3 linked regions of the Sus scrofa genome follow. The protein of the gene in region 3 interacts with the protein of the main gene of each other region in a pairwise test. Links are inferred from orthologs where the notes say so. Each region holds a gene or a part of one and is shown on either strand. Other genes may lie near its edges.

What was found. The genes of interacting proteins can lie anywhere in the genome.
Region 1: the proteins of KRT40 (region 3) and HDAC4 interact in binary tests that used the Homo sapiens proteins (3 or more experiments, as listed by UniProt). The two-hybrid records come from large-scale screens. The link is inferred for Sus scrofa from reciprocal best matches to the Homo sapiens genes KRT40 and HDAC4.
Region 2: the proteins of KRT40 (region 3) and C2H19orf66 interact in binary tests that used the Homo sapiens proteins (3 or more experiments, as listed by UniProt). The two-hybrid records come from large-scale screens. The link is inferred for Sus scrofa from reciprocal best matches to the Homo sapiens genes KRT40 and SHFL.

Annotation. Positions count from the first base shown.
Region 1 is NC_010457.5:138,651,860-138,661,782, reverse strand, and holds the start of HDAC4 (histone deacetylase 4), read left to right. Parts: upstream 1-4,516; 5' UTR 4,517-4,602; intron 4,603-9,923. UniProt on the Homo sapiens protein: Responsible for the deacetylation of lysine residues on the N-terminal part of the core histones (H2A, H2B, H3 and H4).
Region 2 is NC_010444.4:68,937,695-68,947,652, reverse strand, and holds C2H19orf66 (UPF0515 protein C19orf66 homolog), read right to left. Parts: upstream 5,408-9,958; 5' UTR 5,101-5,407; coding exon 5,080-5,100; intron 4,609-5,079; coding exon 4,485-4,608; intron 4,290-4,484; coding exon 4,240-4,289; intron 2,625-4,239; coding exon 2,586-2,624; intron 2,443-2,585; coding exon 2,293-2,442; intron 1,828-2,292; coding exon 1,724-1,827; intron 1,583-1,723; coding exon 1,428-1,582; intron 837-1,427; coding exon 622-836; 3' UTR 546-621; downstream 1-545. Other genes in the region: ANGPTL6 (angiopoietin-related protein 6), read left to right, coding at 142-332.
Region 3 is NC_010454.4:21,477,305-21,487,390, reverse strand, and holds the start of KRT40 (keratin, type I cytoskeletal 40), read right to left. Parts: upstream 6,667-10,086; 5' UTR 5,494-6,666; coding exon 5,059-5,493; intron 3,807-5,058; coding exon 3,724-3,806; intron 3,317-3,723; coding exon 3,160-3,316; intron 1,675-3,159; coding exon 1,513-1,674; intron 1,434-1,512; coding exon 1,308-1,433; intron 1-1,307. UniProt on the Homo sapiens protein: May play a role in late hair differentiation.

The DNA.
Region 1 (9,923 bases), on a different chromosome or scaffold from region 3:
CAACTCCCGTGAAGTTGCACTGGGATTTCATGTTACATTTTGGTCCTGAAAATGTTCTTTTGTTAAGCAGATCGGGGTGTTTCCAGCGTGTTTTTCTAATGCGTGTAAAGTGCTTAGCGTAATGCCTGCCACACAGCCAATGCCCCATAAACATTAACACTTGGAATTACTGAGTGTGGTTAATATACCTGAACATTGTTTGTTTCGTTTGTTCTGTCTTTATAATTGGCCACCTTGCTGAATTTCCAATTCCAGGTTTTCAATCCTATTTGAGTCTTTGGGGCCATCCTTATTTCTGATCCAAAGATTTGTTTCATTCTGTTCACGCCGGGATTCATTTTCTTTCTGAAACTAATCCCTTAAGAGTTGGGACTCGGTGTAAGGTGCCTTTGGAGGCCGCCTCAAGTGACCCTGAACGGGTGTCTGGCCAGTGTTTCCCCCTCTGCGCTCAGCTCTAGCGTTAGAGACCCTCCGCCGTGCCCATCTCGTTCATACCAACTTCCGGCTGCTGTGAGCAGGTGGCCTTCGGCCAGACAGCCCCTCAGAGACCTGGAGACAGACACAGCCCCCCAGCCCCCATGTTCCTCTTTTCCAGAGAAGGGAATCGGGGTTCTTCTCCCCGTTGGGGCCTGACATTTCCCAGGCGCCTCAATCCCTGGAGGAGCCCTCAGGATTCAGGGGAGGCCCGAAAGGCGCGCGGCAGGGGCGCTGCTCGTTTCTCCGGCTAGAATTCTTCCCAATGAATCCGGGCTGGGATCCACTTCCCAGAACTCCTCACGGGACTCAGTCCTCAGGCGTGTCTCCCTCACGTGGTTAAATGAGAGTGGCTGCTGTTCCGCCCGCCCCCACCGTGGATTTTTCTTTAAGTTTTATTGAATTATAGCTGATTTGCGCTGCTGTGGGACTTGTTAATGAGCTTTAGGAGACTCTCACGCAGCACCTCTGCGTTTTCTCCTGCTTGTTTACTCTGTGAGTAGCGGGAGCCTAACGCGTACCCTCCAAAGGTTCCTTAGCCACCGACTCTGCTTCAGCTTTGACAGGAAAGCGTGAGGCGCGCACCCTCCATCGCTGGCCGCGTCACGGGGTCATGGTCTCCAGCCACGCCTTTAACCTTCTGAGGTCACCTGGCATCTGCGTCTCGGGACAGGCAATGCTGCTTAGGATGCCCAAGGTTTTCTAATCATCACTTAATATCTCAAGATATTTTACATATTGCAAAATTGTCCATTTTCATTTAGAAAATTGTGTTTTCACCCATATAGCTGTATTTTCCTCTGAAAGAATCACTTATGAAGAATATTAAAACTATTCTCCAATTCCCCTTCCTGGCTCAGCAGCTAATGAACCCAACGAAGATCCATGAGGATGTGGGTTCGATCCCTGGCCTCGCTCAGTAGGTTAAGGATCTGGCATTGCCGTGAGATGTGGTGTAGGTCGCAGATGTGGCTCGGATCCCACGTTGCTGTGGCTGTGGTGTAAGCTGGCAGCTATAGGTCTGATTCGACCTGTAGCCTGGGAACCTCCATGTGCCACGGGTGCGGCCCTAAAAAGCAAATTCATACATACGTACATACATAAAACGAATCTCTGGTCATCTCTAAAAGCAAAGGCTGGAGTTCCCACTGCGGCTCAGTGGGTTAAGAACCCGACATGGTCTCCGAGAGGATATGGTTTGATCCTTGGCCCTGCTCACGATGCTAAGGATCTGGTGTTGCAGTGGCTGTGGTGTAGGCTGGCAGCTGCAGCTCTGATTCAAGCCCCAGCCTGGGAACTTCCACATGCCGCGTCTGCGGCCGTAAGAAGAAAGTGAATCCAGGAAAGGCTCTCACAGTAAAGGACCCACACGTCTCTGCCAGCATCCCGCAGGTCGACTCTGTCGCAGCTACTCCATCAGGTTTCAGCTCTCTTTGCCTCTAGGATTATTCTAGGAGCTATAATTAAACTGGCCTATTTTCTGATTTGACTTTAAGTTCTGGAGACTTTAAAAAAATAACACAAAACTGATTTTTATGAAAACAGAAGGGCTTCTACTTTCCTCTTTGGAAAGAGCATCAGGCCCCAAAGCTTGGAAGTGCTCACATCACTCAGTGAGGCCACTGTGTGCCTCTCTCTGGTATAACCCAGGAGGGGCAGGTGTCAGCTCAGGCCTCTCCCCTGACCCGGCAGACCCCTCTGATAACCCCGTCACTTCCGGCAGTTCCTCCACGATTCTTCTTCTTTCATGACCAAGTTCGCCAGACAGGTAAGGCTCCTGCTCTGTCAGACCTGCTGTGTCACTTCATGCGCACTTCAGCGCAACTCTGGCCTCCAGGTTCATGTTATACAGCCTGTCCAACAAGGGCAGTTTGGTATTTGAAGATAATAAACTCTTGGAGGCAGGTTTTTTTTTTTTTTTTTTGGCCGCATCTGGGGCATATGGAAGTTCCCAGGCCAGGCACAGAAACTGTGGCTCTGACCCCAGAGTCAATGCCAGGCTTAATCGGAGAGGCTATAGTGGGAACTCCTTGGATGCAGTTGTTTGGGGTTTTTTTTGTTTGTTTGTTTTTTGCTTTTTTAGGGCTGCACTGGGGGCATAGTGAGGTTCCCAGGCTAGGGTAGAATCGGAGCTATAGCTGCTGGCCTACATCACAGCCTTGGCCACACAGAATCTGAGCCAAATCTGCACCCTACACCACAACTGACGGCCACGCGGGATCCTTAACGCACGGAACAAGGCCAGGGATGGAACCTGTGTCCTCATGGATGCTAGTCGGATTTGTTAACCGCCGAGCGATGTCGGGAACTCCTGGACGCAGTTCTTAAACGAGGACCCCGCATTCTACTTTCTAGGAAAAAAAGCTGCTTTGGTTAAGAGACAACTTATTTAACAAAATTTGGCTATTAGAGCTCACGTTTTTTTGAGCAGTGGTCACGTGTTTGGTTGTGAACCATCCTGAGAGGTTTGCAAATGTCCAGCGAGGTATAAAGTTTCATGGAAGCAAATTAATTCTAGAACCCTTTGGACTGCATACAGCACTCTTATTAAAGGAAGTGTTTCATAAATAGGACCTCCAAGTGCTGCAGTTGGAACCCACTGTTGAGTCTTTCATTCTCTCACGATGCCATCCTCCAGGAACTCCAGGTCTCAACACTCATCTTGGCTCTCAGCTCGTGCATCCGCGCACCCTCAGTGCTTCCCTCACTAGGTGGAGAGCAGGGATTCTGAAAAACGTTAGGCGCACCGAGGCTGGGAAATGAAACGACCAGGGGGTGGTCGCCGGAGACCCCGCCACGCCCTTCGGGTGGGCGGCCCAAGGGGTCTCCGAGGGCCTCCGCGAAGCCCCATGCGGCCGCTTGACAGCACAAACCACCCCAGCACGGCATCCCTCAAACACTGAGCACCCAAGGCAGACGGGCTGGTCGACGGAGTCGAGCGAGGCGGACACGGCTGGGACCACCCGGCGAGCCAGCCGCCCCGTCCCTCCCAGCCGCGCAGGCGCGCTGCGCCCGCCCCACGCCCGCGGGAAGGCCGGCCAGCCCAGCCCCAGCCCCAAAGGCCGCGTTCCCGCCGCGGGGCAGGGCGGGGCCCGCTGCGCCTGCGCACTCGCCTCTCGCGCCGCCCCTGCGCCTCCGGGAGGCGGCACCACCACGTGACCACTGCCAGTACCCAAGATGGAGGCTGTGGCCGGGCCTAACCCGCTCCCCGCCTCAGCCTCCGCCCCGGTCTGCGCCCACTAGGCGGGCAGGCCCGCGGTCATGATTGTTAAGCCACCGTGGGCAGCTCTCGGGGGGGCCGGAGAGTGAAGCTCGCCAGAGCCCCTGCCCTGCTCACAGTCACCACAAGCCCGGGCTCTCTCCACTTTCCCAACCGCCAAGCGCCCAGCGGCTGGCGCCTGGAGCGTCCTCTGATAGCCCCGCCCCTGGGATTGGCAGCTCCGGCAGCCAATAGGAACCAGGACGTACCGGAGAAGGCGGGTAGGGGTGGAGCATCCCTGCCGTTCGTAGGGCGTCGGGCCTGGCGGTTGGCGGCCGCTGGCCGAGGGGCGGGAGCAAACGGGGCGGTACCCGGGGCTCCCGCGGACCAATGGAAGGACGGCCGGGCTCCCGGGGAGGGCGGGGCCGAGCCGTAATTGACGAGCTCTTCATTAGAAACCCGGCAGGAGGGAGGGGCCCGCGAGGGGAGGTGATGCAAAGCCGCCGCAGCCAACGGCTGCAGAGCCGCCCGCCGGGGGGCGGGGCCGGGGCGGCTGACGGGCGTCGGCGGTGGCCTATCAGTGCCCCGCTCGGTGCTGGAGGGGGGAGCAGCATCATGGTTCAACGTGGGTCAATTTTTTGTGAATGAGGAGGGGAGGTTGTGGGGCCGCCGCCGCGGAGCACCGTCCCCGCCGCCGCCGCCGCCGCCGCCGCCGCGCCCGAGCCCGCGCGCCCGCCCGCCGCCCGCCCGCCCGCGCCGCCGCCTCAGCCGCCTGGGCCCGGCGCGCCGCGGCCGCGTCCCCGCTGTCGCCGCCGCCCGAGCGCCCGCCCGCCTGCCGCCCGCGGTGGTGGTGGCGGCGCAGGCTGAGGAGATGCGGCTCGGAGCGCCCGCGCGGGGCTAGAGCGCCCGCCGCCGCCGCCGCCGCCGCGGTAAGCGCTGCCCCGGCCCGGCCCGCGGGCCATTGTCCACCCCCCGCCCGCCCGCAGGCCGCCCGCCGGCCTCCACGCCCCCCGCCGCCCGGCCCCGGCAGGTGGACGCCGGGGTCCGCCCGGCCGGCCGGCCCGGCCCGGCCCGTGCGCCCAGGCCGCGCGTGGCGCCAGCCCGCGGGCGTCCGGAGCGGGAGGACCCGTCCTGGACCTTCCCCTGCTGCCCCAGCCGGCGAGGGCCGACGCGCGGCCGGGGCAGGATGGCCGGCTGGCCCCGGGCGCCCGCGCCCGTCCAGGCCGAGCCCTCGGCAGGTGGGCCGGGGGCTCCCGAGCCCGGGCGGGCGCCGTTTATGTAACTTTGTCGAGGCTGTGAGTTTGCAGAAAAACGTCCCTCCGCGGGGCTCGCGGGCGGGGTGCGCCGTCGCCTGGTGTGTGCCCCGGCCCGGAACGGCAGGGGTGGGGGTGCTCACGACCCGAGTGGGTGCCCGCAGGCTTCCCACAGGCCGAGCTGTGGCCCCGTCCTGCCCCGAGGATGTGAGCCGCGTTTCCGGGCGTTGCAAGCACACACCATGGAATTATAAGCAAATTATCTCGTATTTACATTTAGCGTGGAATTATTTGACACTGTTCTAGCAGGAGATCGTGCGTATCAGTCGGAAAGGCCGGGGGTGGGACCCAGTGTACTCATTTAATGCACATCAAAAATTTGTAATAACTTGCAGCAGCTGATATGAGTGTTTGCTTTATTGCATGTTGTAAATTGACCTGCTGTGACACAATTTTCAAATAAAGTGTTGCAGAAATTAAACTCAAGTTATTTTAAAACTAATGACTTTCTTAACTAAATCCTAATTGCATTACTGTAGAGACCTACCTAATTGCTCGCAGCAGCTCCGCCTGCCCTCGGTGAGGGAGGAAAGGGCCTGGGTAGTTACTTTGCTTCCCCCTCTTTTCTCTACTCAGGCTTTTCTGTTTATTCCCACAAACCACCTAAGCATGAGAGGCCTGGGAGCAAACATGTAAACAGCCCTCGCCCAGCGCCAGCCCAGCGGGATGGGAATTCTGGTGGGTTTGCACCTTGGCCTGGTTTCACTTTTTCTTTTGTAACATGATCGTGATTGCCTTGAGTTTTCGTTGCTTCTGATAATTCTGTACGTTATTTCGGAGACGGTGAAGCGAATGAAAGCTGTGAGCACAGGTGTGGTGGTTTCAGGATCGGGCCAGGAAAGGTGGGGGGGGAGGGCGAGAGATTGAATTAAGAAAACTCAGCTGCTTGTACACAAATATACACTACAGCAATTACAAAGCAACAAAAGTTATTGCAGAATTTTGCAGTCACTATGGCAACACAATTACTCTATTATAATTGGAAATGCAAAATGCCACCCTGTTAGAAGTTTCATCAGAATGGAGCTCTGGATATCAAAAATATGTGGGGTTTAAATTTTTTTCAGGTAGCTCCTGAGAATTCTAAAATCTGTGTTCAATTGTCTATTTTTAAGACTGATCAAGCTTTCCCAGATACTCTGCTCCCTGGGATCTGTGGCATCTTTCCCCAGAACTCACATTTGTGTGGGAGGGAAGTATTTTCCTGCCTTAAAAACACACACTCTGACACATTGTTAGACTTCTATAGCTTTCTGTGTTCTGGGCTTTTATTTTCAAGATCAGAAACCTTCCTAAAGAGAGCAGTAATCAATCAGAAAAGAAGCAGGATTTCTGCGCAGGCAGTTGTAACACTGCCCTCTTTAGGGTTGGTTCTTCCTCCTGCAAGGGGACCTGGCAGCTCGAGTGCCCCTGGGAGAGCCCTGGGATGGGGGAGGTTGGAGGCGGGGGTGGGGGGGTGGGTGACTGTGGTCTGCACGTAGGCCTGGAAGGCCTGGGGACCAAGGACAGATGTGGCCTGAGCAGCCGTGAGCCAGGAGAGAATGTTCTGTGGTCAGCAGCTTCACAGCCATGCAAAATAAAAAAAAATCTCTAAATGCCCAGTTCGCAGAGGCTGTGGGGGCCCTTGCTGTAGCAAGATGGACAGACCAGCCTGGCACCCCGGCCACGTGCAGCTGGGGAGCAGGTCCAGACTCAGTGGTCGGAGACCTGCTGTCTGAGGGTGCCCTTCTCCATGTTTACCAGGAGGCCTTGAGTTCTGGAAGTTTCCACACATCGTGGGGTTGCTGCAGTTTAATTTCATTATAACTCTTTCCTTTTAACTACTGCATATTTATGTCCAGTAATCGACTTCCATTTTCCAGCTTCATTGTGAGGTTTCAATGCAGCATGAGTGGCTTTGAATTCTCATCCTTTGATGTTGGGGTGGCACCGGGGACAGGCGACTTTGTGCCGTCCTAATTGCCAGAGCAGAAGAAACATTTCATCACTCCTGCAGAATTCGTCCATACCGTGCTCTATTGAAAACGGCTGGGCTTTCATCACTCAGAAACTGCCATGAGTAATAGATTAGTGCCTGATGGAGGGAGCGAGGGAGATGCCGAGAGCGCAAGACCACTGCTGCCGCCGGGAGGCTGCGGGGCCTCGGGCTGTGGCTGCGCCTCGGGTCCCTGGACCAGGTCGCAGCCCCTGCTGGTCTGGCCTGGAGGGGGTTTGGTTTCCGTCCCCGATGGGCGGTCAGGATGTGCCGGGGCGTGCAGGGGGCTCAGGGCTTTGGCCTTGACCTAGAGGAAGGTGGAGGATCTTCTGGTTGAAGTTAGAGAGGGGCCCTGTGTCAAGTTGATGCTGCAGCTCACAGACCTCAGGGCGTGTGTTCGCGGGCGTTTCTTCGGGAGAGGTGTCACCGAGCGAGGATCGGGAGCTCCGGTCCCGCGGCCCTTTTCATCTCCTGGCTGGTGTGAGTGGGGAGATGGGGCGGGTGGGCCTGCTTGGGGAGCGGGGTGGTCCCTGATGCCTTTTCCGGCCCGCCTCCTAGCCTTCTGCTCACTCCCCGGGAGGAAGGGCCAGGGCCCCACAGGTGCTGCCTCCGCAGTGACCCTCGGTGTCACTGGGGACCGGTGGGCATCTGGTCAGCAGATGTGGGGATCAGCGTGGTTCTCCCCTTTCCCACGGAGCAGATCATGTGCAGGTGACGCTCCAACAGCAGGGGCTTCGACCGCACGGGTCCCCTTTCACGCGGATTCTTTTCAGTGAGTCCTCCAGTGCCACCTGATCTGCGGTTGATTGAATCCGGCACGTGGAACCATGGACACGGAGGGCTGACCCCGATTTTCACCTGTGTCCGGGGTCGGCACCCCAACCCCCACACGTCCAAGGGTCAGCTGTGGTCGTACCACAGACCAGCAGCTACCCCGTGAGGCGCACCTCCTTGGGGCCCCGTGCCGTGGTCCATACTTGCCACGGAGGTCCCGTTCCTCTCCCCACCGCCTTGGGGGTGGCTCTTCCTACACCCGCTTTGCAGAAGAGGCGCCCGAGGAGCCGGGAAGATGCAGCAGCCGGTACCCCTGGCTGTGTCAAGCCCCGGATGCTGATCCTGCGCGTCCGCGCCTCTGCTTCTGATCTGGGAGCCCAGCTCGGTCGGGGTGTGGGGAGAGCAGGGCCTCTCGGGGGAGGAACCGCTTTGGGTTTAGCGTCCTGTCGGGGGCTGTCAGAGCTGCTGTAGATGACACCGCTTCGGTAGGGCCAGGGGAATCGTTCTGGCCTTCCTGGGCTGTCTTCTCGGGTGTGGTGCTGTAGCCTGGAAAGGATCCTGACCGTCCCTGGTGGTCACATGGGATGCTTGGATCTTCTGAGGCTGCCTGGTGAGCGGATCGGGGTACAGGTGACCCTCAGCAGCGTGGGCTGCCTTGGAACAAAGCATTCCAAGTCCGGAAACTTGGAAAAACCACTGATTTAATCCATTCTTATTATAACACCAAGCCAGAAACTTTAAAGAGAAAACATTGACAGATTTAACAGTGTGAGAATGAAAGAACATTTTAACGTTTTTTTGTCAAAAGACTCCCTAAGTGGGGTAAGAGACAGTGAGAGAATGGCTACCTAAGCTCAATAGTCAATATGTAAAGAGCTTTTACAAACCAATAAGAAAAAGACAAGCATCCCTCTTACGTGATGCCCAAAGTGCATACACCTGCAAAGCAAATCACAGTGAATAATAAAAAAGGCTTAGCTTTACGGATAAAGAAATTCAACCAAACAACTTCATGTCTGCCCACCATATTAGCATGGGTTAAGTTTAACAGCACCTGTTGGTGGAGGCGATAATAATTATCTTACGTGGCTTTTGTGAAATTTAAATAAGTTAATATATGGAAAGTGCTTACAACAGGCCCTGGCACATAGTAAGCAGAATATAAGTTTTGGCCGTCACCGATTACTTAATTACTCTCCAGAAGAGTTTTATGTGTCACGTTTTTCAATGGTTATCCCTTTTGTTCCAGCAGTTCTACTTGTTGGAATTGATTCTTGGGGAGGACTGTGATAAGTACATGGATATCCAGATACTCACAGGATGTTATTGCTACAGTATTTCTAAAGGTGCTACTTATTAAATACATTTTAGTACTTGCCTCCTGTGGAAATCCATGCACTGGCTCACAGGTCAGCAGAAGTGTGCAGTGTGTAAGTGAAAAGCAGGCCCGTCTCTTCTGTTTTTTAAATACTTGGGTCTTTAAAGTGGTCATGGTGGCCTTCTGGGGGTGTCAGGAAAATGGGATATGAGTGTCTTTGGTTGTCTTCTATGTATGTTGGCATTGGAGAAATTTTCTTGTAAGCACATCTGACTTCGTAATAGTGTATTTTTGTAGAGGTCTGCTATTTCCGTTGGAGGAAGAAAATACTCTTCAAGCCTATTTATAAAGGAGGGAGACCAGGTCCTTAGTCACTGATACACACGCTTAGTACTGGAAGAACTCCGGGGGCGTTTCTCTGACTCGCCCAAGCTCTCCTGGCCTCCTGGGTCTGGGGGGGGCTCTGGCCCAGGCTGTTTGCAAATGGCTTCTAAGCGGTCCAGACCAAAGCAGATCCGTACCCATCATTCATGGCTTCCCACTCTCTGTAGGCTCCTGAGGACCTGCCTGATCCTGGCCTTTGTTCTCCTTGCCTCGGCTGATGGCGCCTGTCCTGTTCACTAAGCTTTAGCCCCCTGCCTGTTTTGCTTCCTTGCTCTCTGGGAGCCCGGTTTGGCCCCAGGGCCTTTGCACACACTGTTGCCAATTCTTGGAACTAGGTCTCCTCACCCGCTTCTCCACCCCTCAGTCCAAGCTCAGCCTTGGGTCCCCTGTTCATCATGGCCTGACATCCTTCTCCTTCCCAACAGGATCCGCTTGTGTAATTTCAATAGCTTGTTGCAACATTAGTGGTTTGATGTCACCTCTTTT
Region 2 (9,958 bases), on a different chromosome or scaffold from region 3:
AAGGAAGGAATTAAGGCTCTTACTCTGAAGAAAGTTGGGGGGTGGGGTGGGCAGAGAATGCCTGGCAAAAGCCTTGTACTAATGAGATGTTGGTAGAGGCTTTAATTCTGGTGAGACAACACGGATTCTCTCTCCCTTCAGGTAACTGTGCCTTGTACCAGCGGGGAGGCTGGTGGTACCATGCCTGTGCCCACTCCAACCTCAATGGTGTGTGGCATCGTGGTGGCCACTACCGTAGCCGCTACCAGGACGGTGTCTACTGGGCCGAGTTTCGTGGTGGGGCTTACTCTCTCAAGAAGGCGGCCATGCTGATCCGGCCCCTGAGGCTGTGACCATCTATCCATCTTTCCCCCAGGTCCCAGGGGGATGTTTGTTAGCAGGAGCCCAAGTTGTCCTGGCCACACCTCCTTCATGGCTCAGTGCAGGCCATGTCCCACAGACCTCTTCCCATTGTGGATCTGCTCCTGGGGGCCCTGAACACAGGACCCGGGAATCCCCCTGCCAATATCTCAGACCCAGACCGCTCCCCAAGGGCATTTAGATCTCCGTTTGAGCTCACATTTTATAACAACACAAAGTATCCACAGACCGTGTCTGGTTTGCATCTGCACCTGGCAGGGGTCACTCCCCATGCCCACCCTCCTCCTCCTCCTCCTCCTCCTTCAGGTCCTCCAGAATGAGGTTGTCCAGGTCTTCCAGGAGGCCCCCCTGGCTCAGGCAGGTGGCCACTGTGGAGCCACTGCTGATGTGGGGGTTGCTGGGGTGCAGGACTTTGGGCAGGTGGTTCTGCTTCCGGCTCTTGGGGTGCGCACAGGAGGTCCCAGGCACGTGGGGCTCTGGGGAGGGAGAGGTTCTGAGGTCCTTGGACCTTGATGCTACATGAGACTCTGGGGGCAAGGAGGCTAAGGCCACGGGGAGCTCTGGGGAAGGAGGGGCAGAGGCTATAGGCTATGGGCCAGAGCTACAGGAGATTCAGAGGCGAAGGTCACAGGTGTTGAAGCCACCAGAGACTCAGGTACATGGGCGTCACCTGAGACTATGGGAGACGAAATGGGAGCCAAGAACGCAGAGACCACAAGGGCAGAAGCCACAGGACACTGGGGTGTGGGCCACTGGAGTGAGACCACAGAGCCTATGGGTAAGACAATGGAAGGTGGCCAATGCCATGGGAGGTGGGTGTTAGGAGGGGCAAGGGTCCTGAGGGACCTGGAGGTAAGGAGACTTGGAGGACCATGGAAGATGTAGAAGGAGGGGCAGATGCGCTGGGAGACAAAAGGGCCTCCAGGACTGATGTGGCCTTGGGAGGTGTGCAGAAGAGGCAAGCAGAAACCCTGGTACTTAAATCCCCAGGGTGGATGTCCCAGGAATCAAGGCCAGGTAGACTGCCCAGAGTTGGGGAAGGCCACGGGGACACACCAGGCCCTCACCTCGCCGGTTGTAGCAGTCCTCAGCTGAGCAGGAGTGGGTGTGGTTGCTGCGGCGATCCGTGTCCCAGTCCCAGCGCGGAGGGAGGATCCGTGTTGGAAACACGGGGAAGCCGCACCCATAGCAGGGGGATGTGGACCCCATTTGCGCCCAGCCCCTGGGGGCGGGGAGGGCCGTGAGGGTCCAAGGGCTGCCTGGGCCAGTGTGGGGCCGGGGCTAGGAGGGGCAGGGGTGGGGTGGGGCGGGGCCGAGAGTGGGGACTAGAGGTCAGAACCCTCACCAGAAGTTGTGCCCTCACCGGAAGTTGTGCCGACATTTCGGGCAGTGGAACTCAGCCACGCCCCACATCTTGTCGGGTGGCACTGGCTCGTAGCGCTTCCTGCATTTCCTGCATCTGGACACCTGGGGGTGCGGAAAGGGGAGCCGGCTTGAGGTCAGAGGTAAGTACCAACAGCTTGATGTTGACCACAGTGAGATTTACACAATGGAAATTGGCAAACACTATAAATCCGGGGTTGCCTCCACCCCACAAGAGCTGGCTAATAGGCATTTACCAGAAGCACACCACTGGTCAAGGGGTTCAGAAGCCAGATATAGGGTTGTAGTTGCGGGGGGTCAGGTTTGACTTCTGCGGTAGCTGTCAAACTATGTAATCCGAGATCAGGCTCTGGGGTAAAAGTCGAGCTTCTCAAGTTGAAAGAGAAGTCCAGTCGGGGTTGGGGTATGCGATTCGGGTTGATCTCTGAGGTTGGAGGTCGGGGGTTGGGTTCTTAGAGGCTGATGTTCTTCCGTCAAGGGTTTGGACACTGAGGTTGAGGGTTGGGAGTGGAGTCAGGACAGAACCAAGGTCAGGGGTTGGGTTATCACCTCCTTCCGCTGGGGCACGCGGCGCCACCAGACGTGGTCACAGGAAGAGCAAGCGAACTGCCGGTCCACGGCAGGGATGAGGTCTTCCTGGGCACGCTGGAACATGCGTAGGTTGGCTTCTGTCAATGGCAGGAGGGAGGTTGCCACTGCCTGTAGGATGGTGTAGGTGGGGATGGGAGGGTTGTCAGCCCTCTTTTTCCCTTCCTCCCCCTACAGCGTCCCTCGTCCTCACCTAGGGACCTCCCCATGGATGTCCTCCCTGCTCACCTTCCCGTCCCACATCCTGGACTCACCTGGATGTCACGGTCCTGCTTCATATCCTCTGGGGGGTCCTAAGTGGAGACACCAGGGCAGAAACTGGGGATGTGGCTCATGCATCTTTTCTGTGGGTGGGGCTTCTGGGGAGCGGGGGTTCTGGCCCCATATTAAGAGTAGGGTGTCCCTAGGAGTTCTTGCTGTGGAACAGCCAGATCAATGGTGTCCTGGGAGTGCTGGGATGCAGGTTTGATCCCTGGCCCAGCACAGCGATTTAAGGATACTCCATTACTACAGCTGCGGCTTAGGTTGCAACTGAGGCTTAGGTCTGATCCCTTGCCTGGGAACTCCACATGCCGTGAAGTGGCAAAAAAAAAAAAAAAAAAAAAAAAAAGCAGGGTGTTCCTAACTCAGGAGGAGTTGATTGACTGAGAAGTATCTATTTCCTCAGGGCAGGATGTGTGACTTCAGTTGTCCTTAGAGCAACCCTGAGAGGTAGGCATATTTATTACCCCCATTGTTCAGATGGGGAAACTGAGGCCCAGAGCTGGGAGAGGGCTTGCTGAATTTACCCTGAGTGAACCTGGTGGGGCAGGCCTGGACCCCATGCTCCTGTCCTACTCACAAATGCCACACATTTGTTGGCATGGTGACAGGTCACCTCTTTGAGGCCATGCTGCTTTAGGCTAAGTGCTTGGGCTCTGGATTTAGGGAGATGGGGGTTGAAATCCTGGCCTCATTACCTCCAGCTGTGGGGGTGTAGCCAAGCCATTCCCACTACTGAGGGACATCTAAGAGCCCAGGTTCTGACTCTAGGTGGCGGAGGTTCAAATCCCAGCTGTCACCTGCCTTCTGCATGAACCTGGCAAGTGGCTTCATCACCCTGTGTCTCAGTTTTCTCATCTGTAAAATGGACATGCTAGTATCTTAATAGGACCTGTCTCATAGGACCTGTGGCAATGAAATCAGTCAACAGGTAAAAGTCCTGGAGTCCTGCCACAGGGGAAGTGCTTTATCAATGACACTCTTTGCTATTTTATCATACTCATCATATGTATAAATGTAAATATATGAATGTTAAGAGTGTAATTCATCCTTTATTACACTTTTTAAGAACTCTATGCTGGGCCTTTTAGACAGGTGAAACCAGTGCACCAGACACCAAAGCCATCTAAGGGGCAAAGTGGCCCTGTTGTGTCTATGCCTCAAAGCCTTTCATTCATTCATTCATTCATTCCTTTGGGATCCCCTGCCCCTCTCTCCTCCCCCACCTCCTGCTCATCCCAGCCTGTCCGCATGTTCCTTTGCTCGCACAGCCTCCCTCTTCCAGGAAGACCCTTTCTGACTCCTCCCCTTCCCAGGGATGACTCCTCCCTGATCTTGAACAACTTCCTTCCAACTCCTCCAGGAAGCCTTCCCTGACCTCTGTGGCTCCTCTGTAAATGACATTAATCCCGATTCATTTCACTGGCTAGTTTCTTGTCTCACCCCCACTGAATACAGTCAGCATGTAATGAGCACCTACTGTTTGCAGGCCCGCCAGCCAGATACAAGACTGAGAGGTGAATAAGTGAATGAGGCTGTACCATGAGTTGTGGACTGACAGTGCACAGCGGGGGCTCAGCGTGAATGAGCTTACCCTTCTGTTCTCCCTCCCCTTAGCACATCCTTTGAGGGAGAGGGACAGTTTACCTGGGCATCCAGGTCATTACTCAGTTCCTGTCCATCTTTCTGCTTTACCCCTGGTGGGGAGAGTAAGTGTAAGTGAAGGGCCCTTGAAAGATCTTGTGGGAGTTTCAGTGTCCCCAGAACCCCTGATACAGACCGCTCCCCAAAGAGATGATCTCATCGCTTCTTTCTACCCCCAACACAGACCACACCCCCCTCCAGTGCTCCTCTGCAGAACCCCCACCAGGCCCTCGATCCGGCCTGCTCACCGTACACGATGGAGCGCCCCACTCCGGTGTGGTCGCTGCCAAATTTCCTCATCAGAGTCCCCGCCTTCTTGGGGGATACCTTCCCATGAAACTTCTCCCGGAGGCGCCGGACGCTCTTCTCCAGCTGGGGTGGGGACAGGGGGCTCCGAAGGAGGAAGGAGAGGAGCGATGGCCCTTCCCCCATCCCTAGGCATCCTTTTTCTTGGCCTGAACTTGACCCTTGGTTTTGGCTTCTGCACAGCACCCCCCCCCCCCCAATCCCTCTACTGCATTTCCTGGAAAAAGCCAAAGTCCCTACAAGGCACTGGGGGAGGGAGCGGACCAGGGTGAGCGTCCTAGGCTAAGAGAGGAGGCCCGCCAGGTAACCCCTGGCCTCTGACCCTTGACCCAGCAGCCTCCGCTTTTCCTCGAGGAGGCCGCATTTCGCTCTAGGGCATGTGGTGGCCACTCTCCTTTCTGAGGGGAACGAGTGCCAGCCTAAGGATTGGTCTGGGTTTCAGATGGAGTCCCCAGGAACTGCGAAGCCCCTTTCGCGCCCCGAACTCCTCCCCAGCATCTCTCGCAGGCCCCCGGCCCACTGGCAGCCATCTCCTACCTCCACACCTTCCTGAGACATGGTGGCGGCGCAGGTCCCAGCGAGGGTCCGCACTGCGCGCTCAGCGACCCCCTACCTGGGCGCGCCCGTCGGTCCTGCCGCCGCGCAGGGCAGGGGGCGGGGCCTCCAGGCGGGCTCCGCCCTTCCTTTCCGGCCCTCCGTTTCGCTTTCGATAGGGAAAGGGGGGACGGGGCGCGCTGGCTCCGCCTTGGCTCCGCCTCTGCTCTTGCGCCCCAAACCCAGGCGGGCGCCACCGATCTGCACCCTGCGGCGGAGCGCGCAGACCTCGGGCGGGGGAGGCAGCGCGGCCTCTGCAGTCGGTCACATGTCCCCACGCTGCGCGGGGTCCGCGTCTTCACGTCCCTCGTGGGGGTGGGGCCGCATCGGAAGGCCGCGGCGAGTTTCCGCGCCCCCGTTAGCTCGCGCCCCCCCATTTCATTGTTCCATCCCCTCCCCTCCCCGGGAATCAGGCAGTATTCAGCACCTGGACCCCTTTCTTGCTCTGAGTCTCTTACCTGGCCACGTCCCCTTTCTGAACCTCAATTTACTCCTCTGTAAGATGGGATGATGGTAGTGGCTACAGTCTGGGTGTATTTTGGCGGCGGGGCGGTGGCGGGGGCGGTGTGTGTTTGCCAGGATTCGATTCCCTGCGTAGAGCAGTTAGTAGCGCCTGGCAGGTTGTAGACACTTAACTGGTCACTGGGTCACCTACTATGTGTAAGATAAGGAGGGGCAAGCAGCTGGGGGGAAGGAAGAGATGCTTGTTAAGAACACAAATTCCCGGGGTCTCTAGCAGTTGTCCAGAGTTAGGCTGTCTAGGGGATTACAGGGAATTTACACTGTAAATGGGAAGGTTGAGAACCCCAGGGGTCCGAACTTTTCTAACCTAGCAGGGGGCGAAGAGGGGGCTAGAGGAGCTCTTAGGAAGGGCTCTGGCCCAGCCTGAAGGCTTCAGAAATGGCTTCTCTGAGGAATCCTTGAAGTATGAGGTCTCAGCTAAGCGAAGAATGGAGTAGGGAAGGAGGGAGCTAGTCCTGCAAAGACCCCAGAATCAAGAGAATCTAGCGCTTTAATCTAGGGCTTCTCAACCTCAGCTCTACTTGGGGCTGGATGGTTCTTTGTGGTGGGGACCTGCCCTGTGCATTGTAGGGTTTTGAGCTGCATCCCTGGCCTCTACCCACCAGATGCCAGTGGCACACTTGCCCCAGTTGAGACAACTGAAAGTGTCTCCAGATGCTGCCAAATACCCTCTGAGGGGCTAAATTGCATTAGGACAAATGACTCCAAAAATCATTTTTCAGTGAGCACCCCTATGTTCAAGCTCCATCCCCAGGTGGCTATTTGTGTATAAACTATATACAAATACAATTATACTGAGAGATTCCATAGATTATTTAATAATAATGTATTCAGTACATAAAGATATTCCTCAGCAGACTAAAAAAAAAAGGACATTAAAAATAGAAATGTTCCGGGAGTTCCCGTCGTGGCGCAGTGGTTAACGAATCCGACTAGGAACCATGAGGTTGCGGGTTCGGTCCCTGCCCTTGCTCAGTGGGTTAATGATCCGGCGTTGCCGTGAGCTGTGGTGTAGGTTGCAGACGCGGCTCGGATCCCGCGTTGCTGTGCCTCTGGCGTAGGCCGGTGGCTACAGTTCCGATTCAACCCCTAGCCTGGGAACCTCCATATGCCTCGGGCGCGGCCCAAGAAATAGCAACAACAACAACAACGACAAAAGACAAAAAGACAAAGGCAAAAATAAATAAATAAATAAATAAATATTATTAAAAAAAAAAAAAAAAAAAAAAAATAGAAATGTTCCGGAGTTCCCACTGTGACGCATCGGAATCGGTGGTGTTCCTGGAGTGCTGGGATGCAGGTTCGATCCCCGGCCCTGCACAGTGGGTTAAGGATCTTGCATTGCCTCAGCTGCAGCATAGGTCATAACTGTGGTTTGGATCTGATCCCTGGCCTGGGAACTCCATAAGCCAAGGGGCTGCCAAAAAACAAAAAAAAGAGAAGTGTTCTAATGTGTTCTTGAACCTCAACCTTTTGTTTGTGGGGTCTATGCACCTTTCTCTGGAGCCTGCTCTATTAGTGAATATAAATAGTTCACAGTTCTTTGTGGCTGGCCAGTGGGATTGCAAGCAGGGATGGGGGCCTTTAGGCAGCACATAGGACCTGGGATTTTATCCTGAGGGAAGTGGGGAGGTGTGGAGGGGCTCTCCCATTATAATTGCCAATTACTCCTTATCCAGTGGAGGGGGAGGGCATGGCTACATCCCATCCCTTGGTTAGGGTGGGCATTGAGCAGGTAGGAAACGGGTGGGAACCTAAAACAGCCCTGTTACAAGTCAGGTCTGCTAGATTCTCATCATAATGGCCACCATAGTGAGAACTTACTCTGTGCCAGCCACTGTGGACACAGCACCAAATAAAACAAATCCTCATCGAGCTAGCATTCTAGTAGGGGAGACAAGAAACAAGGATAGGAGATAAGTGCCAGGAGGAAAAATGAACTGGGTAGGGGGATGGGTAAAGGGAGTTTAGAAATGGTTGTGGGAAGTAACAGCTGAGGGGAGATCTGAAGGATGTGGCGAGGGGGAGAATTCCAGGTAGAAGGTGGGAGCCTGGGACTGTTGTTACCAGGTATTATAATTCTCTATTGCTGCATAGCAAATTATCCCCAAGCATTAGTGGCTTAAAACAAGAAACAAACCCAACTAGTATCCATGAAGATGTAGGTTCAATCCCTGGCCTCACTCAGTGGGTTAAAGATCCGGTGTTGCTGTGAGCCGTGGTGTAGGTTGCAGATGCTGCTTGGATCCCGTGTTGCTGTGACTGTGTCTATGTCCAGCAGCTGCAGCTCCATTTTGAACCCTATCCTGGGAACTTCCATATGCCGAGGATGTGGCCCTAAAAAGCAAAAAAAAAAAAAAAAAAAAAAAAAAAGGAAACACGTTTTAGTTCATATAGCTTTTTGGGTCAGGAATCCAAGAGTAACTGGGCTTTCTGACTCAGGGTCTCTATAACGTTATAATCGAGATGTTGCCTGGGACTTCAGTCATCTGAAGTTTTGACTGGGGCTAGAAGATCTTACTTCCGAGGTGGCTCATGCACATGGCAGGTATGTGGCTGCTGGTTGTTGGCCGGATGCCTCAGTTCCTCCCTAATTGGGCTGCTTGAGCTTGATACTCTCAACTTGGCAGCTGGCCTCCTCAGAACAAGTGATCCGAGGAAGGAAAGCCAGGTGGAAGTTGTATCTTTATAATCTAACCTCCAGAGTCACATAGCACCACTTCTGCTGCTGCATCCTCTATGTTAAAATCCAGTCACTAGATCTAGCCCATGTCTAGGGATTGGGGGATAAAGACGGTCCTCTTTCTGCTCCTCCCCTACCATTTCCTGCTGGAGCCTTTCACTGGCTGCACCAGAAGGTAAGGAAAGTAAGGGAGTCAGTCACACAGTTAGCCTCTCAGGGCTCAGAGCAGGGGGAGAAGGGTGAGAGTCAATCTGGAGGGACAAAGATACAACCCAAGTGTTGAATTTTGGCATTTGTAGGTGAACAGAAAAACAAAGATTCCCAGCGATCACGTGGGGGCGCTGCCTGCCTGCCAGTAGCTCTGTTTGAGCTTTGTGGCCATCTTGGGCTGTTCAGATGTGGCTGGTGCAGTGATGTGAACTTTACTGCATTTTATCCTTTATTTTCATAAAAAGGCATAGAAGGGGATGAAATAGATGTGCCGATAACAGTGATAAGAAGTGTAACCCCAGAGTTCCCACTGTGGCGCAATGAGGCTGGTGGCTTCTCTGCATCTCCAGGATACAGGTTCGATCCCTGGCCTGGCAGGGTTGCAAGTGCGGCTCAGATCTGATCCCTGGCCCAGGAACTCCATATGCTGTGGGATAGCCAAAATAGGACCCCCCCCCCCAAAAAAAAAGAAGTGTAACCTCTGGTAATTTAGTCTAATTGAGTCAAAGATGGAGCCATTTGAGCCATCCGTTCATTAATTTGACATGCATGCATCAAGCGCCTCTTACGGGGGGCAGACACGGTTCTGGGCATCATTTCTACCATTCCCGAGTCATAGTCTTTTCTTTCTTTCTTTTTTTTTTTTCTTTTTAGGGCTCCACCTGAGAAGTTCCCAGGCTAGGGGTCAAATCAGAGCTGCAGCTGCCAGCCTACAACACAGCCACAGCAACACGGGATCCAAACTGAGTCTGCAGCCCACACCATGACTTGTGGCAACACCTGATCCTTAACCCACTGATTGAGGCCAGGGATCAAACCTGCATCCTCTTGGATACTACCCAGGTTCTTAACCAATTGAGCCACTATGGGTACTCCCAGAGTCCTCTTAATGGGAAAGAGAAACATGAAGCAGATAATACTGTAAGTAGTTATTTAATTATATTGATAGTATATGAGACAGAGAGGGAAAATAAATGAGAAATCTGTGAGAAAGGATAACACCTCAGAACCTGATCTGCATAGGGTGGTCAGGGAGGGCTTCATGTGATCTGCATAGGGTGGTCAGGGAGGGCTTCATGGAGGAGGTGCCTCTTGAATTGAAATCTTAGCACTTTCCGCAACATTGTGTCAAGTGTTTTATTTTTTTTTTAATTTTTTTGTCTTTTTGCTATTTCTCTGGGCCGCTCCCGCGGCATATGGAGGTTCCCAGGCTAGGGGTCGAATCGGAGCTGTAGCTGCCAGCCTACGCCAGAGCCACAGCAACACGGGATCCGAGCCGCGTCTACAACCTACACCACAGCTCACGGCAACGCCGGATCGTTAACCCACTGAGCAGGGGCAGGGACTGAACCCACAACCTCATGGTTCCTAGTCAGATTCGTTAACCACTGCGCCACGACGGGAACT
Region 3 (10,086 bases):
TTAAGGATCCAGCGTTGCCGTGAGCTGTGGTGTAGATTGCAGACACGGCTCGATCCCGCGTTGCTGTGGCTCTGGCGTAGGCCGGTGGCTACAGCTCCAATTCGACCCCTAGCCTGGGAACCTCCATATGCTGCGGGAGCGGCCCAAGAAATAGCAAAAAAAAAAAAAAAAAAAGCAGGACCCTCTGTTACTTAATCCCAGTCTCGGTTCTCCTCATCTGTCTCACAGGGTCAGTACAAGGGCTTTGCCCCATGAGGTTATGTTGATGCTTAATTAGCTTTGTGCCTCTGCCTTTCACACAGTGAATGCTCAGCTATTATTCACCTAAATGTTCTCTGGAGGACCTAGGGTGGCACCCACAGAGGAACGGCTTAATGTAATCTCGAATGCGTGGTAGTCTTTTTGCTTGCGTGGAGTGGGAGGCAGGGAGGGGTCCAGGTGAGGTGTGGATCCTGGGAAAGTTTAGAATAGTTGTAGAATGCCAAGTCTGGACCTCTGTGTTTCAGATGGGATGGGGGGCTTGGAAAACTGGCCCGAATCAAAAGAGAGATGGAATCCATTGGAATTCTTGAGTGCCTTTGACTCAGAAGTTCCCCTCTTTCTGCTCCTGCCCATTCCCTCTCCCTCCTTGTCTCTGGACGGTGCCGCAGGATCATGCCTGAGCCCCGGGGGGGAAGGTCAGGGCATCCTAGTGGGGCAGTGCAAGCTGCTGACCTATCCCTTCTGCTTCTAGCTGCATAAACAGCATACTTGAAACAGGCAAGGGTAGAGATTACTAATATGTGAATCACATTAAAAATGATACAAGAGAACTTATTCACAAAATAGAAATGGAGTCAAAGGTTTTGAAGCCAAACTTAGGGTTGTGAAAGGGAAAACGCGGGGGGAATAAACTGGGAGATTGGCATATACACACTACGATACACAAGATCAGTAAGTAACAAGCACCTACTGTATAGCACAGGGAACGCTGGCTATTCAGGACTCTTTGATAGCCTACGTGGGGAAAGAATCTGAAAAAGAATGGATATATATATATATATATATATATATCTCCACTTATGGAGATATCCATATATATTTCACTTTTGCTGTGTACCTGAAACTAACACACTAATATAGTAAGTCAACTATATTCCAACAAAATTTATTTAAAAAAGAAAAAAAAGGCAAGGAAATGCAATCCTTGCACATTGGAAATTCAGACCTTCTGCTCCATGAACTGTGGGTCTCTCCTTTGGGTTATGGGGACACTATCTCGAGGCCTGACTCTTCAGTGACAAAACAGTTATCTTTCCCTTACACACCAGGCTTTGCTGTGCTTGAAGTTCAATCTCCAGAGCAGTGGCTGTGCGTTTCAGTTCCAGCATCTCCGTCTGGCAGCCCTGCAGCTGCTCTGCACTGGACAGCTGCTGCTGGTTCAGCTCCTCCGTCTGTAACACAGGCCTGATTAAGAGAAGGCAAATAGGGCACAATCGGGATGCCTGGCATTTTGCTGCTCCAGATGCTCACCTGAACGGCGAACCATTCTTCCATGTCTCTGTGGTTGTTGGCGAGCACGGTTTCATACTGACCACGCATCTCATCCAGGACCTTGTTGAGGTCCACGGTGGGGGCAGTGTTTAGCTCCACACTGAGTCGGTCCCCCAGCTGTTCACGAAGCACGTTGACCTCCTGTGGGTGGATATTATGGAGTAAATAATATCAGAGTGGTGGGAAAAAAAATTCAACTTGACACCCCAAAGGCATCCCATTTCTGGTTTGGGGAGTAGTGGGTAAAAGTGGGGGATCAGATTCAGACTGCCTAACCTGAGTCTGGTTTCATCACTCAGTTTCTCCACCTGTGGAATGGGTATGATTTTTACCTTTACCAGAGAGTTATTGCGAGATACACGAGTTAAGAGACATAGAAAACACTTATCAACACTTATTGGTGCCCAGTAAGTTCTCAGTGTCGGCTGTTATTATCGTCAACAAATGTTCAAGGGGAAGTTAGACTTTGTTATGTCATCCAGCTCTTCATTTTTTTTAGCATCATCAATAAGGGATAAGTAGGAGTTCCTCTGTGGCTCAGTGGTTAATGAACCTGATTAGTATCCATGAGGATGAGGGTTCAATCCCTGGCCTTGATCAGTGGGTTAAGGATCCAGTGTTGTCATGAGCTGTGGTGTAGGTCACAGACGCAGCTCATATCCTGCATTGCTGTGGCTGTGGTGTAGGCTGGCAGCTACAGCTCAGATTTGACCCCTAACCTGGGAACCTCCATATGCCAAGGGTGAGGCCCTAAAAAAGACAAAAGACAAAAAAAAAAAAAAGAGATAAGTATACACTTCACATTTAATGATTTTTTTTTTGGCCATGCCCAATGCATGCAGAAGTTCCTGGGCCAGGGGTTGAACTGTGCCATAGCAGTGACCAGAGCCACAGCAGTGACAATGCTACATATTTAATTGCCAGGCCACCAGGAAACTCCACATTTAGTGATTTTTAAAAGTTTATAAATGCAGCATATTTAAAAGTATTTGTCCAAATACTGCATGAGTCTATATTGCCTTTTTTTTTTCTTTTTCAGGGATGCACCTGCAGTGTGGAAGTTCCCAGGCTAGGGATCCAATTGGAGCTGCAGCTGTCGGCCTACACCACAGCCACCACAATGCTGGATCCAAGCTGCATCTTCAACCTACACTGCAGCTTGCAGCAATGCCGGATCCTTAACCCACTGAGCAAGGCCAGGGATCGGACCTGAATCCTCCTGGATACTAGTCGGGTTCCTAACCTGCTGAGCCATAATGGGAACTCCTATTTCCTTTTTGAAATGGCCTTTATATTCTGCAATGATCAGCCTGCTTTTCACACCTTATGGGTTAGAGTTAAGAGCAGCAGAAAGCCTCCAGGAAAACCATGTGTGGGTTTGCCTCGGCCACAAAAGCAGTGGCAGGTGAAAGGTTTGGTTCCTCCAGCTGGCCCTGGCCAGGGGTTAATTCCGTTACATTCAGAGACACACCAGAATGATCAGGCTGGGGAGTAATAGTGCCTCGAGTCCTTTTCTTCCACCTTAAGCAACATCTGCTCAAGTCCAATCTATATACACAACACGGGTTCTGTCAGTTTAACTGTGCCCCTCTTAGAGCCGTTCAGGGATTTTGCCCTTTTCCTCACCTCTTCATGGTTTTTCTTAAGGCAAAGGAGATCATCCTTCAGAGACTCCACATGAGCTTCCAGGTCAGACTGGCACAGGCTCAGCTCCCCCAGGATCCCACGCAGGCCGCTAATGTCCATCTCCACCAGCTGGCGGAGGGACAGCTCAGCATCGTACCTTTCACAGCAAGAGACACAGCCGGTGCTTACCCCGCTGGACACTGCGCAAAGCGCTGGGCCTACCAATGACTGACGCGTGGACCCAAGGAACCCACATATCGTGACTCCTTCTACTCCCCAAATAATGAAAATTCAAGCTGCGTGAGCATTCTTCGCTTTATATATATATATTTTTGGAGGGGAGGGGGGTTGGAATTTTCTTCTGTTTTCTTTACACAGAATGAAGCATTTTCATAGCACATATTTTATAGGGTTTGCTTAGAGATGAAAACAGAAGGAAATTTCACAATTACTTCTGGCTTAAAAAATATTATGTAGAGAATACCAGTGGTGTGTGTGGAGCTATGTGAGAGAAGGAGAGAAAGAGGCAACCGTAAATTATTTTCCAATTCAAATTAACCTTACTTTGACCTAAAGTCATCGGCAGCCAGTTTGCAGTTGTCAAGCTGTACAGCAAGTCTTGAGTTCTCTGCCTTCGTACACAAGATCTGGGAAGCAAGATATTATGTCATAAGTGGTTCTGTGAAAAGAAACCCAAGTATCTACTTGTTTAACCACTAAGGCATCACTTATCTTTTAAAGTTTTACAAGAAAATATAAAGTAGCTTTCAGGCTGCTTTTATTAACCGTGTCACTTTGTGAAGAAAAAAAGGAGCACCAGTTATAAATGAAATGGAGAAATAAAAAGGTTTAGTTTTTTAATGACACAAGACTTTTTTTTTTAACCGTCACACCTAAGGCAGGGCCAGGGGTCGAACTGGAGCTGCATCTTTAGGCTAATACCACAGCCACCTCAAGAGTAGATCCAAGCCACGTCTGTGACCCAGGCTGTGACAATGCCAGACCCTTGACCCACTGAGTGAGGCAAGGGATTGAACCTGCATCCTCATGGATACCATGTCACGTGAACCTGATGAGCCACAACAGGAACTCCAACCTAAGACATTTTGCAGTATCCCTTGGCACTTAGGTTTTTCTCCAGAAGTAGTTTGTTTTACGACTATAGTACCATCCAAGATAATAAAAAATTCATCAGTAATAAAGGGAAATAATTACTAGGTGAAATTATAGGATTAAAAAGATGGCATTTTGGGAGTTCCCTGGTGGCCTAGCAGTTAAGGATCTGGCATTGTCACTGTCATGGCATGGGTTCAAACCCTGGCCCGGGAACTTCTCCATGCTGCAGATATGCCCCTTCCAAAAGACATTTCAATATCTGCGTTAAAAATACTATACAGGATTTCCCGCTGTGCTCAGTGGGCTCAGCAGAGGCTCTGGACTGCTAGAACGAAAGTTCGATCCTGGCCCAGCACAGTGGGATAAGGATCCCACATTTTCTGCACCTGCAGCGTTAAGTCACAACTGCAGCTCAGATCTGATCCCCAGTCCAGGAACTCCGTGTGCGGGGGTGGGACGGGACAAAAAAGAAAAAAAAACGCGTACATGTGTACACGTACAGTGTGTCACACAGAAGTCCTTCTCGATATAACACTGTTGTTCCTCCTTCCCTAGCTGATAAAGGTAAATTTAGAGGTCAATTATTTTATCATGATCACTTAGTAATTAGCGGCAGCCTAGGGGCTGGTGCTGAGGCCTCCTGACTTTCCTCTGCATCGCATTACCTCTGAGAAGTCCCTCCCCTTTCCCTGGTATCCTGCCACAGAACAGCCTCTAGCAGAACAAAAATAAAGCAAGTCACAGACTGGGAAGGTGGGACTTCAGGGCGATGAAATACGAGACCTTTTGTTGGAGCTCTTCAATGGTGTCGAAGTAACTCTGATAATCAGGGCACACCGACGGGGCGTCCTCTTCACACTGTTCCCGGATCCTGCATTCCAGCTCCGCATTCAGCTCCTCCAGCCCGCGCACCTTCTCCAGATAGTTGGCGAGTCTGTCGTTCAGGAACTGCATCGTCTCCTTCTCGTTGCTGTTGAACGCGCCATCCTCACCCCAGACACAGTTCCCCACCAGGCACGGAGCGTGGCAGCTCCCGGCCAAGCAGCGCGGCCTGAGGCAACCAGCTGATGCACAGGACCTGGGAGTGTGGCATCTGGAGGTGGCACAGGCGCTGGGGAGACACGTGGCGTCCACGGGACCGGTTGAAGCAATCGCGCCATCAGAAGCCCCGGCCCTCGACGCAGAAGAGCAGCAGGAGGGGGAACAGTCAGAAGCCATCCTATCAGACGAGAAGGGCAGAGACTAGTTGCAAAACTCCAGCTGCCTGCCTCCAAAAGTCTCCTTCTCTCCGGAGACTTTTATATCAGCCCCCAAATGGGTATTTACGCAAAGCACGCAAAGCACCGGATGTTTTCCGGTGCCAGTTTTCATATGAACACTCATTAGTGTTGTTTATTTGCTGAAGAAGAGTTTTATGCCTCATAAAACAGGCATAACTTCAAGTTGCTAAATAAGGACACTGTTGCCATGTGCCGGGAGGATAAAAATGCTTTTTTTCAGAAAATCTTCATAGGAAATACTTTCCTTTTGACCAAATAAGGAAAGAAAAGGGAAAATTTGGCCAATCAGTAATTATAGATACAATTGATTGGGCATAAGGAAAATAATATTCCCACAGATTTTGAGCCTGTGCCTTGAAAATGGTTTATGTCTTCTTTTAAAATTAATATTACAAGTCATTTTTTCATTTTTTTAAGGTTTTATTGAGGTAGAGTTGACTTACAAGGTTGTGATAATTTCTGCTGGACAACAAAGCGGTTCAGTTATACACGTGCCCACATCCATTCTCTTACAGGTTCTTTCCCCGCATGGATTATTACAGAATACCGGGTAGAGTTCGCTATGCTATATGGCAGGTGTCCGATGGCCAGTCATTCCATATACCTCAGGGTGCATCTGCCCATCCCAACCTCCTGGTCCATCCCTCCCTGCCCCCACTTATCCCCTTTGGTACCCACAAGTTTGTTTTCAAAGTCTGTGAGTCTGTTTCTGTTCTGCAAATATGTTCATTTGCATCTTTTTTAAGATTCCACTTATAAGTGATATCACTCATTTAAGCGCCCCTTGTTTGTTTGTGTCACCACCATAAAAGTGTCCTGTGTGGTTTGCAGTCCTTGCAATGCTTTCTGTGGTCTCGCCGTGCTCACATGGTAAAGGAGTGAGGTGTGTACTGGGTTTAAAGTGTGTATGTGAACCATACCTACTTGGGTGCAAATTGACAAGTCACTTTACATAATGGATGGGCTTAATTTTTGCCCTCCAGTCCGAAAATATAAATTGGTTATCAAGTTATGGGGTTGTGATCATTTGATTTTTTTTTTTTCTTTTTTAGGGCCACACCTATGGCATGGGGAGGTTCCCAGGCTAGGGGTCCCGTTGGAGCTGTAGCTGCTGGCCTACGCCACAGCCTCAGACAAGCCAGATCCAAGGCACATCTGTGACCTGCACCACAGCTCACAGCAACACTGGATCCTTAACCCATTGACTGAGGCCAGGGATCAAACCCGAAACCTCATGGCTCCTAGTTGGATTATTTCCACTGCGCCACGACAGGAACTCCTGAAGTTGTCATCTTTGATTTCCTGAAAATTGCCGTCTCCACATTTCTAATGCCTCGTTTTCCTATCAGGGATACGGTGGTTTTTTTTTTTTTTTTTTTTAAACTGCATCTCTAATAGAAATGAAATACAAACTCTCTTATAATCTTTTAGTTTCTTGGGAAACTAAACCCTCATTAATTAAATTACATTTCAGAGTAGGGGCAAGGAAGAAACAGGCTTTTCTTCTGGGATATGGAGCCTCTTTTCTCTTTTTTACTAATTTATTTAATCTTGAAGCTCCCAAGAGCATGAAAATTAAAGATACTGGAACTTATGAATAAAATTCTATGAGTTCCAGCAGTTCCATTGGATGAAATCTCTTGTGGTACCAAATGGATAGGTATTTGAGATGTAAGTTTTCAGGATTCTCTCTTAAATTTTATCTTCACTTTTCACTTTTCTTGGCTTTAATTGTGATATTTATTTCCTTAAAAATGTACAGAATAATTTGTCTGCAGAATCTTTAAAATCTTTATGGGAAAAAAACAATTATTCTGACAACATTAATATTTTCTTGATTTAGAATAAACAGTTTTTTTCTAATTCTGAGCACTACTTCCTTAGGTAGCTGATAGCAAAAATAAACAAATAACCAAAGCCAAACCTAGAAATCTTAAATAAATGCATTAAAATAGTCTCTTATGACTTATTATTCATTGAGCAGAGTTGGGTTTTTTCTTTTTAGGGCCGCACTGATGGCATAGGGAAGTTCCCAGGCTAGGGGTTGAATCAGAGCTAGAGCTGCCAGTCTATGCCACGGCCATAGCAAAGTGGGATCCGAGCTGACTGTGCGACCTGCACCATAGCTCACAGCAATGCCAGATACTTAACCCATTGAGTGAGGCAAGAGATGGAACCCAAATTCTCACAGAGACTAGTCAGGTTCATTACCACTGAGCCACAGTGGGAACTCTGAGCAGAGTTGGGTTTGATTTTAGTAGTTCTCTTAATATTTCAACACTTGTGCTTAAAATTCTTAGTGTGCCAATGGTATAAGATGCAGTTCTGCAAAGGACATGAGTTCAAAGTTTCAAAAACATACTTGAAAGTTATAAATATCCACAGGAAAGTTATGATCCCACAGTGACCTAGAGTCAAAGGAAAAGTTTCTTTGAAAAAATAATCCACGTCTTGATTGTCCACCCATAGGTTCCAGGGGTTAAGGATCTGGCATTGTCACTGCTGAGGCTCAGGTCACTACTGTGGCATGGGTTCAATTCCTGGCCCAGGAACTTCTGCATAATGTGGACACAGCCAAACAATTTTACAAAAAGGATGTTACTAGATTTTCCCCCAATATAATTATACCATTTTACATTCTTGACAATAACATTTGAGAGATTTAGTTCCTCCGTATCTTCACCAACATGTGGTATTGTCAGACATTTATAATTAAAATGATTTTTTGGGTCACGTTTAAGTGTTACAGTTTAATTTACATTCTTTTGACTAATGATGTCGAGCAACTTTTCATGTATTTATTGGCCATTTGGATATCTTCTTTTGTGAAGTGACTTTTCAAATCTTCAGCGTATTTTTCATGGGCTGATTATCCAGGAGAAAGTATATGTTACTTGGCAATACAGTCTCTGCAGTTCTGCTAAATTGACCATCTCCAGGATTCTTTTATGCTTCCTGTAGGTCTGAGATTTCATTTGATATAATTATTCTTTTAAAGAAAAAGACTATTCTTTAGTGTTTTTCACAGTATAAATCTTCAGACATTTTTAATCAGTGTTGTTTATCTAAAAATATTTTTGCTTTCCTTTCAAGTTTTGAAGGCTATTTTGCAAGGTATTAGAATTCTGATTAACACTTTTTTTCACTTTCAGGACCTTAAAGATGAGGTTTGACTGAGCAGAGGTTAGATATCATTTTTCTCTTGATCCTTAGGCGTGGGTTTAGCTTTTTCTGGGACAGGTGTAATTTAGTGTGTTCTTTACTCGGGACTGTGATCCTTACTCTTTTCATAAGGCTCCTTACTCTTCTGGAATACGACTGAATGTCTAAGGGACTCAAAGAGCTTTGCCTGCTCCAGAAAGCCTGGAACTTCAAAGTCTTTTAGACTTGAATGACTTCTTGTATTTCCACTCAGCTCTTTATCCCCCAGCAGCCATTCTATGCTAGCATCTTGGAATTTCATCCTGTGTGCACGCAACGCAGCCTTTTGCAAGTACTTGAGCAGATCTTTTCCATAGACCTTTGCTCCTTCCCTCATACCTCATCCTCCTAGAACCCTACTGTGCAAATTCCAGCTGCCTGGACTTCATTTAGATATGCCACTTGTGTCTTGCCATGTCTGCAGCAAACCTCAGTATTCCCCTTTTAATTCTTTCCTGCTTCTCTGCTCCCATGCTCAGTTGGTGACCTAACACCACTGCCCAGTCTCTCTTTGGCAGCGTCTTCTTTATCATAGTCTTTTGATCTCCAGCTTCAGTCAATTTGTCCTTGACTATGTCTTTCTCTTCTTTATCTTTGGGGCAGCTATCTTGATTTCTTAATGGTTCTCACTTTTGTGGTACCACAGAAGTTTATTAATGCTACTGGTAGAGCACTTATATTTTTATCATAATACCATGCCTGGCATTCAATTAATAATGATCAGTTGTATGAGGGAATGAGAGGGTATTGTGTATGTATCTGCCTCATCCTCCAGACAGTCAGCTTATTTTTAGCAGGGACAATAAAATAGATTTTTAGTATGCTTATTGAATGGATGATATTGTTATTATTATTTTATTTTTTTGCAAAAACAGATCAGGCACATCTGGGTTAGTTGATTTATTATTTCATATTTGGTCTTACCTTAAACCATTTTTGGGGCAGAAAGTCAGAGAAGCTATGCCGATATACTGGACCATTTTATATGCAAAGCCATTTAGGTTTCTTGAAACAACAAGAACAATAAAAGCACCCTTTTCGATTTTTCAGATGTTCTCATTTCTTAAAATGCAGACCTTTGGATTCAAGAAATACACTCAATGAATTAACAAAAATAAACAGAAGTAACTATAGACATTTGTGCTATGCCAGAGATGTAAAATTTATTAGGATAATCATGAAGAAGTTCCTCAATTTCCAGAAAGATACCATTCAAGACTGGAAACAGAATTCCCAAAGCACCCAAAGAAAGATACACTTTCACATGAAGGAATCAAGCAACTTTGGCAAGTCTATGAGCATCCACCTATTCCAATTGCCCTAGTTTACT